Linked DNA regions of Drosophila melanogaster. The protein of the gene in region 1 purifies or fractionates together with the protein of each later gene. This does not show direct contact. Each region holds a gene or a part of one and is shown in the gene's direction. Other genes may lie near its edges.

Region 1 (5,959 bases):
TCATCACCTGCGCAGTCTTGTCGCGAACACCTACTACAGTCTATACAAAGTGAAGCCATTAGAAGATAGCCTGTGCATCGTGGACAAGGAGGCCACCAGTAAGGCTCTGGGATTCCAAGTGCCTGTCTATGGCGGTTCCTACACAGAAAGGGAGTCCTTGAAACACGGTGACCTTCTCAAGCAGATTTACTGCTTGCGTCGGGAATTTAATCAACTGGAGAAGTGTCTTAACAATAGAACACCGTATTCATACGTTAAGAACAGAACGGCACCCTTGAATCTTCACATTTCACGAGGAGCACCTGTTCAGAGCCTGCAAAGCAGCATGTTTGCCTCGGAACCAATACTCATTCTGCGCCTTCGCATCCTGGACACATTTGAACTCGACCCTGTCTGGCAGTCTGCGCCAAAGTGCCAGTTGGAAAGCAAGACACTATGCTACCTGCCACCAACAGAAGACGAGGCATTCCACACCGCCCAGCAGCGCTTTTTCATTGATCTCCTGGAAGAAGTAAAGAAATTGAAGCCCGACAGCATTGTCTTCCACAAGTTCCTGTTTCTCACCCATTACGCGGCGTCGCTGCTCTTATTTCTCATAGAGAGCGTTTATCAGGATTGTTGTTTTAATAGCAATCAAGCGCAAACTCTCACGTTGAGTAAGCTAAAAGATACGGCTAACAGTGCCTTGGAACAGGTGCTGGAACTTCTTAAGGACGAGCAGGCGGGGGCCATTCACAGCCTGCTGGACATTAAGGAGCTGCAGAAGAACCAGTTCAGCAAGGCCCTCATTCAGCACAACAACAGCATTGTAATGACCTGCTTCCGTAGCATGTTGGGCGAGGAATCATTTCCCATGCCCGTAGCTCCGACATCCAACTCAGATGTCGGTTCCATCCAAGAGTCGGCAGCTGTATTTTAACATAACGAACATGTATTTCTCACTTGCATCAAATTACAGTGCTACTTTTACAAAACTAGGTACTCTGCCGGGGAAATATCTGCTTAAATGTTTTCTGAGGATAGTTTTTCATGGATCAAGAATGAAAATTAAATAACTAACAGAAAAATCACAAGACTAAGGGGTAAGGGTACACATGGGTTGTGGACTGGCCCACCTCCTCCAGCTCTACCTCCGCCTATCCGCTAGTCGGCCGGACGTTTTTCGCTGTGCTTCTTGGTGTAGTCCTCGGCGTTTTTCACGAATTTTTTGCGATCCTTAAGAAACTCCTCGGCCAACTCCGCCCGCAGCGGATGCTCCGGCTCAGGGTCGTTGATTAAGTCCACCAGTGCCTGCACGACCTGGTCGGTGCGTGTGGCCGGTTTCCAGTTCTCCGTACTGATAATGGGCAAGCACACCTGGCCCTTCTCATCGATGTTTGGATGGTAGATGCGTGTCTTAAAGTTAATCTTGGGCGGCTTGAAAGGATACTCCGCCGGAAAGTTGATCTCGATGCGGAAGGCGCCCTTGTTGTACGGCGGATTGTCCGGGACAATCAATCCCGTCCAGCGCAGCAGGTTGTCATCGTCCGCCTTAATGTCCCGGAAGGACTTCAGTGCGTTGCCCTGCAAATCGCTCAATTCTTTTCGCAGGCGTCGCGGCGCAGTCATCGTGATGTCTATGTGTGGGTTCTCTTATGCTGGTGTGTGCGTAGGTGTGTGTGGAACGGAAAGAGGAGGGGGCCACCTTGCCAATGTGTGCGTGTGCACTTTTGTTTGCCCTTGTGTGAGCTGCAAATCGATGGTTTTGTCTTCCGGATATGTAATACTCTCGTTCAGCCGCCGGTGTTTCGTTGTTGGTGAGCTCCTAGTGCTCCAGTTGCGGGGTGTCACCTTTGGTTTTCGCACTGGCCCAAAAAAATCCGCACGTAAGTCTGCGAATTTCGCTGAAAATGGTTCGTTGAAGAATCTTCCAATTAGCGTTAGGGTATTTTGCAGACTTGCTCGCAACGGCGCTGCAATTGGTATACATATACATTGGTCATGTATAACTTTGTCTTGATTTTGCAACTTGCAACGGCTGTAATATTATGTTTAATACTAAATAAATCTTTATTGGAAAGTATTTATTATAGATGTATATTTTAAGAGAGGTAACAAATGAAAATAAAAGGGTTGCTGTTTCCAAATGGATTTGTAACCGATTACCAGCAGCAGTGGCGGCAAGCCAATCGATAGGCAACCGTTTCAGGCGATTCCCATCGCTATCGCTGACTGCAACACGTGCGCCGCGTTAGTTTTGTTTTTACCTCAAAATGACCAAAAAACTAGCTCTGAAACGCAGAGGAAAGGATTCGGAACCCACAAATGAAGTGGTGGCCAGTTCCGAGGCTTCCGAAAACGAGGAGGAGGAGGAGGTAAGACCCATTGACAGTGATATAAAAAGTCATTTCAAAATGACCTGCATGTGTGTTTGTGCTCTTTAAGGACCTGCTGCAAGCTGTAAAAGATCCCGGCGAAGATTCAACAGATGACGAGGGCATAGACCAGGAATACCACTCGGATTCCAGTGAGGAACTGCAGTTCGAGAGCGATGAGGAGGGCAACTACTTGGGCAGAAAGCAATCTTCATCAGCTGAGGAAGATGAAGAAAGTAGTGATGAAGAGGATAATGAAGAGGAGGAAAGCACTGATGGAGAGGAAGTGGAAGATGAGGAGAAGGATTCCAAGTCAAAGCAAACAGACGATAAGCCCAGTGGAAGCGGTGCCGCGTCTAAAAAAGCCCTTACAGCAGAGCTCCCGAAACGGGATAGCTCGAAGCCTGAGTATCAGGATTCAGATACCTCCGACGAGGAGGACATAAGAAATACTGTAGGCAACATACCCATGCACTGGTACGACGAATACAAGCACATCGGTTACGACTGGGATGCCAAGAAGATTATTAAACCACCACAAGGAGATCAAATTGATGAGTTCCTGCGTAAGATCGAGGACCCAGACTTTTGGCGTACCGTCAAGGATCCACTTACCGGTCAGGATGTGCGCCTAACAGACGAGGACATTGCTCTGATCAAGCGCATCGTTTCGGGTCGCATACCCAACAAGGATCACGAAGAGTATGAGCCCTGGATCGAATGGTTCACATCGGAGGTGGAAAAGATGCCCATCAAGAACGTACCCGACCACAAACGCTCTTTCCTGCCCTCAGTTTCCGAGAAAAAGCGCGTCTCTCGCATGGTGCACGCCCTCAAAATGGGCTGGATGAAGACCACTGAGGAAGTGGAACGCGAGAAGCAGGCCAAGCGCGGTCCCAAGTTCTACATGCTGTGGGAAACGGACACCAGTCGGGAACACATGCGCCGCATCCACGATCCAGTCTCTGCGCCCAAACGCGACCTTCCCGGTCATGCCGAGTCCTACAATCCACCGCCAGAGTATCTTTTCGATGCCAAGGAGACCAAGGAGTGGCTTAAACTAAAGGACGAGCCACACAAGCGCAAGCTGCACTTCATGCCACAGAAGTTCAAGTCGCTGAGGGAGGTGCCCGCATACTCGAGATACCTTCGGGAGCGTTTCCTTCGTTGCCTGGATCTTTACCTGTGTCCCCGTGCAAAGCGTGTCAAGCTGAACATCGATGCCGAGTACCTTATCCCCAAGTTGCCCTCGCCGCGTGACCTGCAACCCTTTCCCACGGTGGAGAGTATGGTTTACCGTGGCCACACCGATCTGGTGCGGTCTGTTAGTGTGGAGCCCAAGGGAGAGTACCTCGTCTCCGGTTCGGATGATAAAACCGTCAAGAGTAAGTACTAATTTAATTGACAACCTTTTAGATATCTTCTTACTAATCCATCTCACCTCACAGTTTGGGAAATTGCAACAGGTCGTTGCATTCGCACAATCGAGACCGACGAAGTGGTACGCTGTGTGGCTTGGTGTCCAAATCCCAAGCTGTCTATTATTGCGGTGGCCACTGGCAATCGCTTGCTGCTCGTCAATCCTAAAGTGGGCGATAAGGTGCTGGTGAAGAAGACCGACGATCTCTTGGCTGAGGCGCCCAGTCAGGATGTCATTGAAAGTGAACGCATCAAGACGGCGGTGCAATGGTCAAATGCGGAAGCTGATGAGCAGGAGAAGGGCGTCCGCGTAGTGATTACCCACTTCAAACCCATCCGACAGGTGACCTGGCACGGTCGTGGTGACTACTTGGCCACAGTGATGCCCGAAGGTGCTAACCGCTCGGCTTTAATTCATCAGTTGTCCAAGCGGCGCTCACAGATTCCATTCTCCAAGAGCAAGGGTCTCATCCAATTCGTGCTCTTCCATCCGGTGAAGCCCTGCTTCTTTGTGGCGGTAAGTGGGTTAATTTTCTTTTGTTAGTATGTCTTATTGAATTCTGTTTTTTCTTTACAGACGCAACACAACATTCGCATTTATGATCTGGTCAAACAAGAGCTTGTCAAGAAGCTGCTGACCAACTCCAAATGGATATCGGGCATGTCTATTCATCCCAAGGGCGACAATCTGCTGGTGTCCACCTATGACAAAAAGATGCTCTGGTTCGATTTGGATCTGTCCACAAAGCCCTACCAGACCATGCGACTCCATCGCAATGCAGTTCGCAGTGTTGCTTTCCATCTTCGATATCCGCTCTTTGCTTCCGGCAGCGATGACCAGGCTGTGATCGTCTCCCATGGCATGGTCTATAAGTAAGTGGCTATAAATCAACATTGCCCAAGGTTAATTACGAATTTCTCCAAACTTTTTTTTAGTGACCTGCTGCAAAACCCTTTGATTGTGCCTCTCAAGAAGCTGCAAACACACGAGAAACGCGATGAGTTTGGTGTGCTGGATGTTAACTGGCATCCGGTGCAGCCATGGGTCTTCTCCACGGGCGCGGACAGTACCATCCGACTATACACGTAATTTAGGTGTACAAACCCCAAGAAAGTTTCTTTTAGTTTCCGAAAGTTTTGTGAAATTTCAATAGTAAATAAAAAATATATTAATTTTTATGAAAAGTAAAGTATTTCATATAACCATTTCATTCGAACATTTTAAAAACAACGGTTTTCGAAATCAACGGGATCCCAAAATCAAAATGTAAGTGCAACCCTGCCGAAAGTTTATAAGTTCTGGCCCCAAAGCTTTGCGGTAAATTCCAGTGGGGCGAAGAGTCCCGAGCTTTATTCTCTTTTTCCGACTCGCGCACATGTCTTACCGTCCGTTCTCTCGCGCTCTCCGCCTGTCAGTCCCTCTCCTGTGTGTACCAGGAATTCTAACTGTATAGCAATTCCACAAAGCTTTTCGCTCAGTCCACCTATGGAGCCCTCCCCCGGCTGCCCACTTTCCACTCGCCGTTATCTTGCGTTCCTCGGGAGGAGCGCGCGCATTGGAAAATCAAAATCAAGAGCTGGCGACACGGCACTGCTTGGAAATCAGTCGCCTGCCTTTGCCCGAGCGGAGAGAATCTCGAAACGCTCGAATCGACCCGTCGAGGATTTTGGCTTCAGCTTCTGGGTGCTGCTGGTGCTGAGCAGCCAAAATCGCAGAGCGCAGAAATCGAATGGGAATTGGCTGCCATTGCGGGGGCACCGAGCACGAAGGAATATAATAAAATATGGCCGAGGGCGAAATGTGAAAATGTGAAAATGCCAGTCCAGGCAGTCCAGTGACCACGAAAATTGCAGTTTCCCCCAATTCGTATTCATACACACACACACATTCTCAACAGTCAACGAAAAAAATCGTAAAGAAATTCACAAAAAAAAAATCGAAGCACAAGCAAAACAATTTCGGGGCGAAAAAGAAAAATATATACAAATATACACATTTCGATTCCGATTCTAGTGGCAAAAATTCGTATGTACTCGTCGCTGCTCCTCAAAAACATACATACATACAAACGCGACCCCCTTTTCCCGCCCACCCATTCGCCCAAAAATCCTCAAAGAAAATATAAACGTGTGTGTGGTGTTTGAGTGAAAATCTGAACGGAAGCGCTGGTTCAACAACAAGAAAA
Region 2 (5,272 bases), about 12 Mb from region 1:
ACAACTGACCCTTCGATGGGTCGAGGTTATCAACTATAGCAATCTCCCTTGTTTTTAGAATTAATTCAAAAAAAATTTGTGAAATGTATGGTTTTTGGCTACCGCTTCTAATAAGATCACGTTTTAAACATCTTACTTTTACTAAACTAGAGTCTTACGTTTTTTTTTTATAAATGACCTATTTTGAACTGTAACCGTCAATAAACTATGCTGACTTAAATAAGCAGATATTCTGCATATTCTTATCAAAAATTATTACCAGAATTATTGACCTGATTGACTGCTTTATAGTTTATCTGCCTATATTTATTTGACTATATTCAATTACAATGAATTCCTAAATTAATCTGTAGCTCGCAGTTCCACTCGCTGTTGTCGCAGAAGCTGTGGATGCGCCCTCAGGATGTCACGTTGTTGACGGAGGTTCTTGATAATTCCTGGCAAGTGCCAGGCGTGTCTGAGCAGACTATCTGTCACATCAAAATGGGCATGCCGCACGCAGCGTAGTTGGGAGCAGTGCGCCACGGTTCGGAGGTCCAAAGCCATATCGTGCACTAGCGTAGCTAAGTACTCCTGCGTCTCGTTGATGGCGTGCAGTTCCAGGGTGAAGTGCGGTCGATCGAAGTGAATCAGCTTAATGCCGTAGACGACGGGCTGACTGTCGTCCGCTGGGCGTAGGAGACCCCTACAGGCCAGTTCATAGGCCTCCTGGGTCTGCAAATCGACACCGCAGAGCTCAAACATCTTACGCTGATGGGATGCCTGCATGGAGGCGGCTAGACTGCTGATCCTGTCTGCGGACACGTGTCGGTGATTGGAGCGCATTATGACCCGTGAGTCTGGTAGGTTATTTTCGGTTGCGATGCCTAGGTGCCCGATTAGATGGTAGACCCGCACTGGTCGATTTTTCCGAATAGAACTAGACTGGCCTGCTCCCCTGTTGATCCCAAAGACTACAAAAGTATGGTTAGATCTGGATTTAAAATGTTTTACATGACTTACGCAGGACTCCGCTGGTGTGATCGCCCAGGCTGGACACTGTGGTGCAGATCAAGTCTCGCGGAAGGTACCGCGGTCCGGTGGACAGAAGGTGGTCGGATAGATCCGTCTGCTCTCCTATGTTATGTAGTACGTGATCTGCTGCAGTGCCTGTGCCCAGGAGGCTAATGTTCTCTTGCAACTTGCGTGGTTTCCTCTGCTCCATTTCGTTGAGTCCTTTTGCAGATCTGTTTTTAATTTCAATTTGTTCTTTAAATGGCGCTAGGCTTACCCTTGCAAATGTTGCTCAGAATAGCATTGCGCACGTGTTTCACCTTCATACCGGATGGCTTGTACACATTTAGAATGCCATTCATGTGCTTAAACACTGTGGCGGCATCATAAACTTTGGTGAGAGCCATTTCTGCTTTAAGTTACGTATGTGCGCTATTTGTTTTTAAATTCACATGACAGTGTTGGTGAACACACACGAACAGCTGAGCACATGTGCTGCCCAGTACTGAATAGGGTATAGACATGCACTTGAAACTTAATTTATAAAATTTACATATAAAATGTTGTTTTCAAATATCTCTTTAATTTTCTAAAAAAAAGTTTAGTTGGAAATAATTCTCAAAACGTTGTGGTCTTTATACCCGCAAAAAAACATGCTTGTATCACTGCAAAACAAGAATTAAGTCCACCGCACGAAAAAACAAGAAACAAATCCGATTGGGCTAAAATTTTCTATAAATTTTACAAATTTCACGGGAATATTCTCACTGTGGCTTGCATACTATTTGCTTGCATTTAAAATGACAACAAAACTGCACTTAAAGAAGTTATAATCAAATAAAGTCTTATGCGTATCACTATATTCTCACAAGAGAAGTGGTTTTCAACGAAAAAAATGTTTTAAACTGGTAAACAGCAAACTGAAGCCTAGTGACTACCCTAAATGTTATTAAAATATCGGTGGCCGTTAGATATCGATATAAACGATAACATCGATTATTAAGCATATGTCTTTTACATCTCTATTGCACGTGTAGGATTTGTTTTGACCGCACGAATTTGTATAGCCGCATACCATTAATTCACGTTTTAATCGCAAGTATTGAGAGAAACCGCGTCTTGAGATGAAGTGGACTACTGCAAATACCAAACATGTAAACTACACGGCGAAGCACGAACTGTATGTGGGAACACACACGGGCTCCTTTAAACGTACGTCCGCTTGTTCTTTATCGAACAGCATAATAATAATGACTTCAACTTTTTAGACCTGGTGCCTGCATCCGAGAAGACCCCTTATGGACAAAGCAACCTGAGTGATCTGTGCGCCCTGGATAAGGATTCCCGCGTCACATCTCTGGCCTTTGGCAACGACGATCAGACGGAGATCCTTCTAGGCCGGGCCAAGGACGCCGTGGAGATTCACTCCTTCACAGAAAAGGGACATTCTAGGAACACAGTATCCTTCAATGCTGCGCCAATTGTTGGTCTGGCCCGATACAATGACAAGCTTATTGCCGGCATTGGCAACGGAGAGATACAGAGCCTGGAGCTAGAGGCGAACGACGAGTCCGAGCCCGTGGTTATCGCCACGGGTGACCAAATGGACCACCTGCGCCAGTGCGCCCAAGTCAAAAGCATTGTAGCAACTGGCGGCAAAGAGCGTCAAAACAATCTAAAGGTCTACGATTTAAATGCCGACGGTAAGCAGATTTTCACCTCGAAGAATTTGCCCAACGACTATCTGCAGCTAGAGGTTCCGGTTTGGGACAGCGATATCGGCTTTGTGGATGGGCCTAGTGTACTGGCCACTTGCTCGCGAACCGGCTATGTTCGCATCTATGACACGCGTAAGCAGCGTCGACCTGTTGCATGTTTTGCCAGCGAGGAGCACGGGATGAGTTTTACGACTTTAGTGGCAAAGGGAAACTTTATTTACACGGGTACCACAATGGGTGCTCTAAAAGCCTTTGACACTCGACGCATGAAAACTCATGTGCATACGTACAAGGGATTCACAGGCGGGATAAGTGACCTTCATTTAGATGCCACCGGTCGCTTTCTGAGCTCTGCAAGCCTAGACCGATACGTTCGTATCCATGATTCCGAAACCACAGTGCTGCTCTACCAATGCTACGTGAAATCAAAGGCCACTAAGATTCTTATCCGACCGTTTGAAAACGAGGCACGAGTAACAGAAGAACCTGAGGAGGTCGCTGACCTTCAAATGGATAGAAACGTGAGTGAAAATAAGAGCGTCAACGCAACATCTGTGGACAATGAATACGAGGATATGTTTGATCAGATGCCCACTGTGGGGTAAGTTTAACTACATATTGAGTGATTTAATAATACGCTAAAATCTTATATTTTGGCCAACAGTGACAGCGATAATGAGTCCGAGGAAGAGATGTCTAATATTAAGCTTTCAAAGGCCGATCTAAAAAGAAGATCGTCGGAAAAGTCTTTAAAAAACAAAAAGAAAAAAGTTGTGATTAGTTAAAGCGACATGTATTTACGTATAAGAATATTAAAGAAAAAATAGTATAGATTTCGGTGGTTTTTATATTAAAGAACTAACAAACATGGCATCGTAGGTAGACACAGAGCTGTTTTAAAAAAGTTTCGTTGCATATTACATTCTGAACTGACTGTCGAGCAAGGGAACATGAGGTGCGTGCAAGTACTTAAAATAAATTATATTGTAAAGATGGAAGCAACAAACGTCGACTGCGATTATAGTGTTTTACCCCCAGCATAAAAATGGATTCGTGGCCTTCCTGTCATTTTTTCAATGAAGTGTTGGGTCTGTAAAAACATTGCAGCTTCTGCAGTCTAAGATAAGGTGTTGTTTATTTCCTATTTCTAAAAACATAATTCTCAAAAATGTTGGCTTTGGGGGACAGTAATGTAGGAGGCAACCTCATTTAAAGAGACGACTCTTGCGGTTCACCCTTTCTTTTATTTATGTTATGTGGAGTCGTGGTTTAGTGGCATTTTAATGGGCTTATAGTATAAGTATCTTATCCCTACTAGAGGAGTATCTTACATATGTTTAAATATTTATTTACACTAGATAGATGTACGGCAACGGAGAAAAATTAATATTGTAGCCATCAATAGTTTGGTATTATTCATCTTAAGTAAGCTTCTGTAAAAATCGTTTTGGCCACATAATATGAGATACACATAATATCATGTGTGTAGTATCTGAAGACATATATACATATGTTTGCCTATAAACTCATATTTCTCATAAACTAGAATTAAATGTTTTCCTGAAAAATGCAATATAGATTATTATAAATGCGTTATAATAATAATATTTCCCACTCGTTTCTAGATAAACAACGGCTTTGTTTTAAAAATTTAAAAGTATAAGAAAATAAAGCCAGAGCTCCTGAATTCATAATATGTTAAACAACAATGCTCATTATTTTGAGTTTAGGAACATAGTTGAAATTTTAATTCCATCAGATGTTCAATTTAAAATTTAATGTTTAAATGAACATTGCAGCTACTCGACCCGAAAAGCCAGAAAATTGCCCAGCAACGGAGACATTAAATCGAAGTTGGAGTCGCGAGATGGCATATTTTTGAATTTGGAGTGATAATTCCTTACCTAAATTAAAGCATGAGCTTTGAGCTCTGCCAAGTCCTAAAATTTCATTTGAACTACATCAGACTAAAAACTTTTAATTTCTTTTTCGAGCTAAAAGTCGAGCAGGTTAATACTAAGATACCAGCCAGCCAACTTCGAAGCGGTTTCTAACGCGAACACGCGTCCTGATTCGATAAGGCAACTCCCATCTTCCAACCCCGGCTGGACGGCCTTCACGGCATGCACACGCACTCGGAATGGTGATGCCGAATTTCGTCCTGGTATCATCTTTGGCATCTTTTTGGGAAACTGGTTCGGCGTGACGCAAGCATAGGTCGCGTGCTGATTGAAACTTGGATGTCAGTGGAAAACCTGGCCGACGAAAAACGATGGGGCGACTAACACTACCAGAGCTCCGCAATCTTTTAGCTTAAATTTTAATTTCATCCTTACGTTGCCCCCCACCTCCACCTCCATCAACGGTTAGTGGGCACCTTTTAGTTTTTCCGTCGGTTTTGCTTATCCAGATACGCGCCACGAAACTTTTGTTTGCCGACAAATAATTTGGCTCGGGAAGTTGGCGCCTCGCTCTGGTTACCATCGTCGAAATTTCAGCGAGTGAGCTTTGACAGCCCCCAAAAGTTGGACATGGGCTGACAATGTTTGCCGGAGCAGAGC
Region 3 (5,312 bases), on another chromosome or scaffold:
GTGGTTGGCCGGATGATGAGCAGTGCGATCCAGAGGCGAAGGAATCCCACCAGCGGTCCAAAGGACACCAGCAGGTAGGCGTAATCCCCGCCAGATCTTGTGATGCATGTGCCCAGTTCCGCGTAGCACAGAGCTCCGATCGTCGATAAAATGCCGCAAGTCAGCCAAATCAAAAGGGAGCTTCCCACGGATCTGAAATGATTTAAAGTAGTCATCGAATCAATAAACAATTTGAATGAAAATAAACACTCGTAAACAAATATGGTCAGGGAATACATACATATATATATATATAAAGCAATAAAAATTATAAATATAGATCTAATATTAACTCGGTGGCAAATATTTGTAAGCAATAATAGTAAAATGGTATTTAAACAAAACATCTAAAAAAAACAAGTGCTGGGGATTAGCTTTCATTTCGATAAAATACTTTTATGAATTTAACTTCCTGGAATTTTTCGCAGCCGCCTTAAGCTTATGACGCACACCTTTTTTTGTGGCTCTTATCAATAATTTAAATGTTTGGCGCGCCTTATTGACGTTATTCTTGTGACTGGAGACAATTCGCTTAAAAAAAAAAAACACTTTAAAAAGCTGACGCAATATGTGGGCAGAATTTCAAGGTTGAATCTTTGAGGGAAAATCGAGAACTAATAAATGTATCTTAATTGGTGCTAAAGGAATGCCTGCGACAATCTATCCATTAATTAACAGCTAAATTGACCTTTTTTGTGCATAAATTGAATTAAGGAGGATGCTCTGTATCACCACTCACTCGGTGTAAATAAAGACTCCCGTGGGAGCAATGAAGATGCCCGATCCAATGATGGTGCCCACTATGATGGCCACTCCATTGATGAGTGTTAGCTTCCGCTTGAGGACAATCTTCTCCTCGCCATCAGCGGGATTTGGATTACCCGGCGCGGCGCATCCATTTGTGGGCTCGACCAGGCTGGTGGTCACTCCATTGGCATATCGGTCCGTCATGATGTCTGCACTGTGGGATTCTTCTGCTTACCCTCTTCTAATGGCGAATAGCGCACATTGTCACTGGAATGAAGGGTAAAAGTTGAAATGTAGAAAAAAAAGCCTTCATTACTATCAGCAAATGGGGCGCGAGCACGTGTTGCGCAAATTGTAAACAAATGCTATAGTGCTGATTTTAGTTACTAATTGCTAGTGAAGAAGACCCGATTTTTGCCTCGCTGGCAGCTAACTAATCTCCCATTGTCAGGCATAAACTTGAATGTTTCCCCGACGCCACTATCTTCGATACACGAAATTTAGCTTTAAAGTAGGGTGATTTTTGGGGTTGGCATGTTGTGGTGTGTAGCTGCCTAATGGGGAGCTCCACTTTTATGGTGACGCCTTTGCCGCGTGCCAATTTCCACGATTTCGTCATCACCTTACGACGCGTGGCAATGAATTTTGCAGTTGCAGAGTTGCAGTTTTTCTGGCAATTGCTCGATTGCTTTTATTCGCTTCTTTTTTTTTTTGTTGGTTATTCGCAAGGTTTGGAATGCAGTTTGGCTGATTAATTTCGGTTTATCTTGTTCCCAGCGACTTTGCACGTAAAACACGATTTATTTTACCTCGAGAGCGCGGACACAACAAAACGGCTTTGACTGCGAACAGCGACTGTGCGTTGGCATCGAGACCGGCATTTTCATACTAAAATTAACGCAATTTTCACCCTAAAACGCAGTGAGAGAGTGAGAGCAGCAAACGGAGAGAGAAACAGAGAGAGAGAGAGAATGAGTGTAAAGAAAAAAAATGAGAAATGAGTGCTCAAAACCGGAAATTAATGTCAAATGGTTACTTACAAGAAGAAAACATTAAAGCTGTCCTCTTGAATGCTAGCTAATGCTAAATTTATCTTATGGCATAACTATTAAGCATAGTTTTCAGTTGAATAATACAATTTCTTAAATGTTCCCGCCAAAAATTTCAAATTTGTTAGCTATTCACCACGAAACGCGCTCAGCTGTTGCACACATCACTTATCGATAGCAAAGCACTTATCGCTCCGCGCCCACCTCTATCCTTTTTAGTTATTGTTTTGGTGCTTGCACGTGTTTTAATTTACTTCGATTAAAAAGCCAAATACCAGCAATGTCAGACAAGTGAGTGATTGAAAAACTATAAAAATGTGTTGACCCTAAACATTATCTTATACTTTTGATCCCTAGATATGCGGTGCCCAACAAATTGCCCGGCAAAACAGTGTCGGTGCTAAAGCATCGCAAGAGGAGAATTCTGCAGGATGAATCTGTTGTTACGCAGAAAAGAAATGACCGCATCAAAAAGAGAACCGCCACCAAGAATCACCACAAATTCCGCCGTGCCGAATCCTTCGTAATGGGCTACCTGAAAGCAGAGCGCACGTCCAAGCGGATCAAGCAAACCATTCTGCGCACCAATGTCACCGAACAAAGTGCCAAAGCTGCCGACGATTCCAATCCCAAACTGCTCTTCGTGATGCGCCATGCGGGCAAGAAGATCTTCGACAAGACCACCGCGGATATATTCCGAACCCTGCGCATGGGCTCGCGCCACAACGCCGTCTTCATGGAGAACACCAAGGAGAACCAGTTGCTGCTGCGCGTTATCGAACCCTTTGTAGTCTACGGCAATCCCTCGCTGAGCTCCATTCGCGAGCTGGTCTTCAAGAAGGGCTTCGCCCGCATCGACGGCAAGAAGACGGCCATCCAGTCGAACACCATGGTGGAGCAACAGCTGGGCGACAAGGGTGTCATCTGTCTGGAGGATATAATCCACGAAATTTGCACAGTGGGTCCAAACTTCGCCGCTGTAAATGAGTTTCTGTGCGCCTTCACGGTTGGTTAACAACTTCTCTTTTGCAATTCTTAAAACTATACTATTACCGCCATTTGGTTTTTTCCAGTTGTCCAGTCCCAGCAATGGTTGGCAAAAGAAGGTATCCGTCTCGTACAAACGCGGTGGCGAGTACGGCGATCGTGGCACTGCCATCAACGAACTGATTGCCCGCTGCCTGTAGAGACCCTAGCCTAGTAAACCCTTAAGTGATTGTTCAACCTCTATAACCCATTCTGTAGCTAAGCCCAATACACATCTATATACAAACGTATTCTATTTGAGCGTACTTATTTAACGAAGAAAATAGATGGTCAGGTCAGCACTATCGTGAGTTTACTGTATGCCTATAAAAGCAATCCTGCGACTATTAAGGAACCACATGAAACTGTCTCTAACGACATTCCTCATTATTCTACATGTTTATCAACATGATAAACTTCACCCACGAAACAAGTTCTTTGCTTCTTGGCCTTGCGTGTCCCAGCCGAGTTCCCAAATTGAACAAACCAGAGAATCAACTTTCTGCCTCGAATAATAAATAAGTCATAACCGAGGTGGCTCCTCGCAAACGAAAGGTATGCCAAACTGAACTACTTGTTGCCATGAAGGAGGAACTGTTGTTTTTCGATTAGTCGGAGTCAGTGCCACTAACCTAGTGCAACTCGGGTCGTCGTATCTTTTGTTCGGATAAAACTCCAGGGACTACACATTGGAATTCAAAATCCTTAGATTCAATTAATTCTCAATGAATTCAAGTTTCAACAGCGAGCAGTTGGACACCGACCGCGATGGACTGCAAAAAATTCTGGCCCGATCTCTCAAGGAACCCATTCTTGGCAAGCACTTTGCCCTGCCTGGCCGCATAGAGCAGAGTCCACCCATCGAACTGGACACCAGCCAGAGCTACATTGCCGTCTACACTCATCTCAAAGTGCACGCCACCATGATGCCGGAGAGATTGCCCACGCCGGAGGCAATCGGACGAATACAGGCGGAGAACTTGGAGGCAGCGCCCAAGGCACGAAGTTCAAAGACCCGCTTGGATCCCTGCTCAAATATAAATTAAATTACGTTGGGCATCAATAAAGAAAGTATTGTTATTTTATCTTTTGGTATCCCTTAAATTTAGTAAAAGAATATTAAAATTTTTTTTTTTATTTTATTAAATATACATGTTCATAATCCTTGTAGGCATAAGCTTCACATCAAATTCGTGTTGAATACATCCTCCTATCGGTGCAGATCTTAGTATCCTTTTTCTTGAAAGTAATTAATATGATGCTTTTCGTAGGTTGTTTAAATCGCTACTAGGTTGATAAGTATAAGACAATTAATGGGACCGCATGTGGTGCTTTAACAATCAATATTGGGTTCATTCTTGAATCCATAAAAATCATGAGAGAAATGTAAAATAACCAAGTGTTTATGTGTCATCCTCACTCCTAATTCTGCAGGATACGCACGGCGTTGTACATCTGGCCAATGATGGGCAGCTGCTTGGACTCGCGCCGGCAAAGGTATTTGTAGGCATGCGACAACAGCCTGTCCAGGGCAGCCACATCGATCTCGTCGGGCTTGGTGGCCGCGATCTGAATGTTGTTCTCCGTCATCGGTTCCTTCTGCGTAAGCGGCGTGAGAAATGGATCAGTACTGCGAATGATATATGCGCTTGCAGCACTTACCAGGTTGTCTAGGTAGGCCAGCAACTGGTGGCCAACAGAGGCAATCTTCAGGAACGTGGACTGCGAGCTCTGTGCGTAAAGATTAAGTCTACGGCCAGCGATCTCCAGCAGCAGTCGGCCCAGCTCCTCGTCATCGCTGATGTCCTGGAGCAACACTTGAGCCTCCGCATCATACCCAAAAGCGTACAGTTCCACCACCTGGAGGAGGGAAAAATATTTGGAATATATTTTCTATTCCATTGTGTTTCCTCTGTTGTGCTCTCTACGGAGCAAACTAACGAACTGATGTTGAAAGGCAAAAGGGATTGTAAGCTCCCTGTCATGTGTGTTCATGGGTTCCTAGATTAGGAATTCTGGGATCATATATGTATGTACATTCTTACCTGCCGTCGTAGGATAGGAAGTTTATCGACCTCCCAACTGTCGGCTAAGGCACAGATCTTGCCCATGTAGAAAACATGATCGAGAATGTACAGCTGCTCCAAATCCTCTCTAATCAGATCCATGGTAGCGGTGACAAGGCGACACAGGAACTCAGTGCGCTGCTGTTGCAGGACAAGATCTGGTGCAGGCAAAACATAAGGCAGTTCCTTATTGATGTCCGCCAGCAGAGCTTTGTTGCTCATGGAGTCAAAAAGCGTGGTCAGTGGTTTTGGAATGCGCAGCTGGAAAAAGGAAACGAAGTGCAGCACGCTGCACAGTTCTGTTTGAAGACGGAGCAGCTGCGGCATGGCATGGTGCTGCTGGAGAGCCAGAAACTGCAATGGCAGGGCTCCTTCGCTGAGCGAC

The links. Proteins that work in one complex are often made in the same cells at the same time.
Region 2: the proteins of CG5033 (region 1) and l(2)k09848 purify together in Drosophila melanogaster (affinity purification with mass spectrometry, with the first as the bait; one large-scale study listed by BioGRID). This does not show direct contact.
Region 3: the proteins of CG5033 (region 1) and RpL7-like purify together in Drosophila melanogaster (affinity purification with mass spectrometry, with the first as the bait; one large-scale study listed by BioGRID). This does not show direct contact.

What each region holds. Positions count from the first base shown.
Region 1 is NT_033778.4:17,787,495-17,793,453, forward strand, and holds CG5033 (uncharacterized protein), read left to right. Parts: upstream 1-2,184; 5' UTR 2,185-2,252; coding exon 2,253-2,354; intron 2,355-2,424; coding exon 2,425-3,739; intron 3,740-3,802; coding exon 3,803-4,290; intron 4,291-4,350; coding exon 4,351-4,646; intron 4,647-4,709; coding exon 4,710-4,863; 3' UTR 4,864-4,954; downstream 4,955-5,959. Other genes in the region: aft (adrift), read left to right, coding at 1-919; Ubc10 (ubiquitin conjugating enzyme 10), read right to left, coding at 1,144-1,608. UniProt on the Drosophila melanogaster protein: Required for maturation of ribosomal RNAs and formation of the large ribosomal subunit.
Region 2 is NT_033778.4:6,073,104-6,078,375, reverse strand, and holds l(2)k09848 (lethal (2) k09848), read left to right. Parts: upstream 1-2,008; 5' UTR 2,009-2,117; coding exon 2,118-2,205; intron 2,206-2,261; coding exon 2,262-3,312; intron 3,313-3,375; coding exon 3,376-3,496; 3' UTR 3,497-3,905; downstream 3,906-5,272. Other genes in the region: CG7849 (uncharacterized protein), read right to left, coding at 343-953, 1,003-1,215, 1,271-1,400.
Region 3 is NT_033779.5:12,054,307-12,059,618, forward strand, and holds RpL7-like (ribosomal protein L7-like), read left to right. Parts: upstream 1-2,041; 5' UTR 2,042-2,115; coding exon 2,116-2,126; intron 2,127-2,192; coding exon 2,193-2,841; intron 2,842-2,908; coding exon 2,909-3,022; 3' UTR 3,023-3,586; coding exon of another isoform or gene 3,587-3,907; 3' UTR 3,908-3,945; downstream 3,946-5,312. Other genes in the region: JhI-21 (juvenile hormone Inducible-21), read right to left, coding at 1-192, 779-990; CG34164 (uncharacterized protein), read left to right, coding at 3,587-3,907; Rab3-GAP (Rab3 GTPase activating protein), read right to left, coding at 4,284-4,460, 4,524-4,721, 4,907-5,312.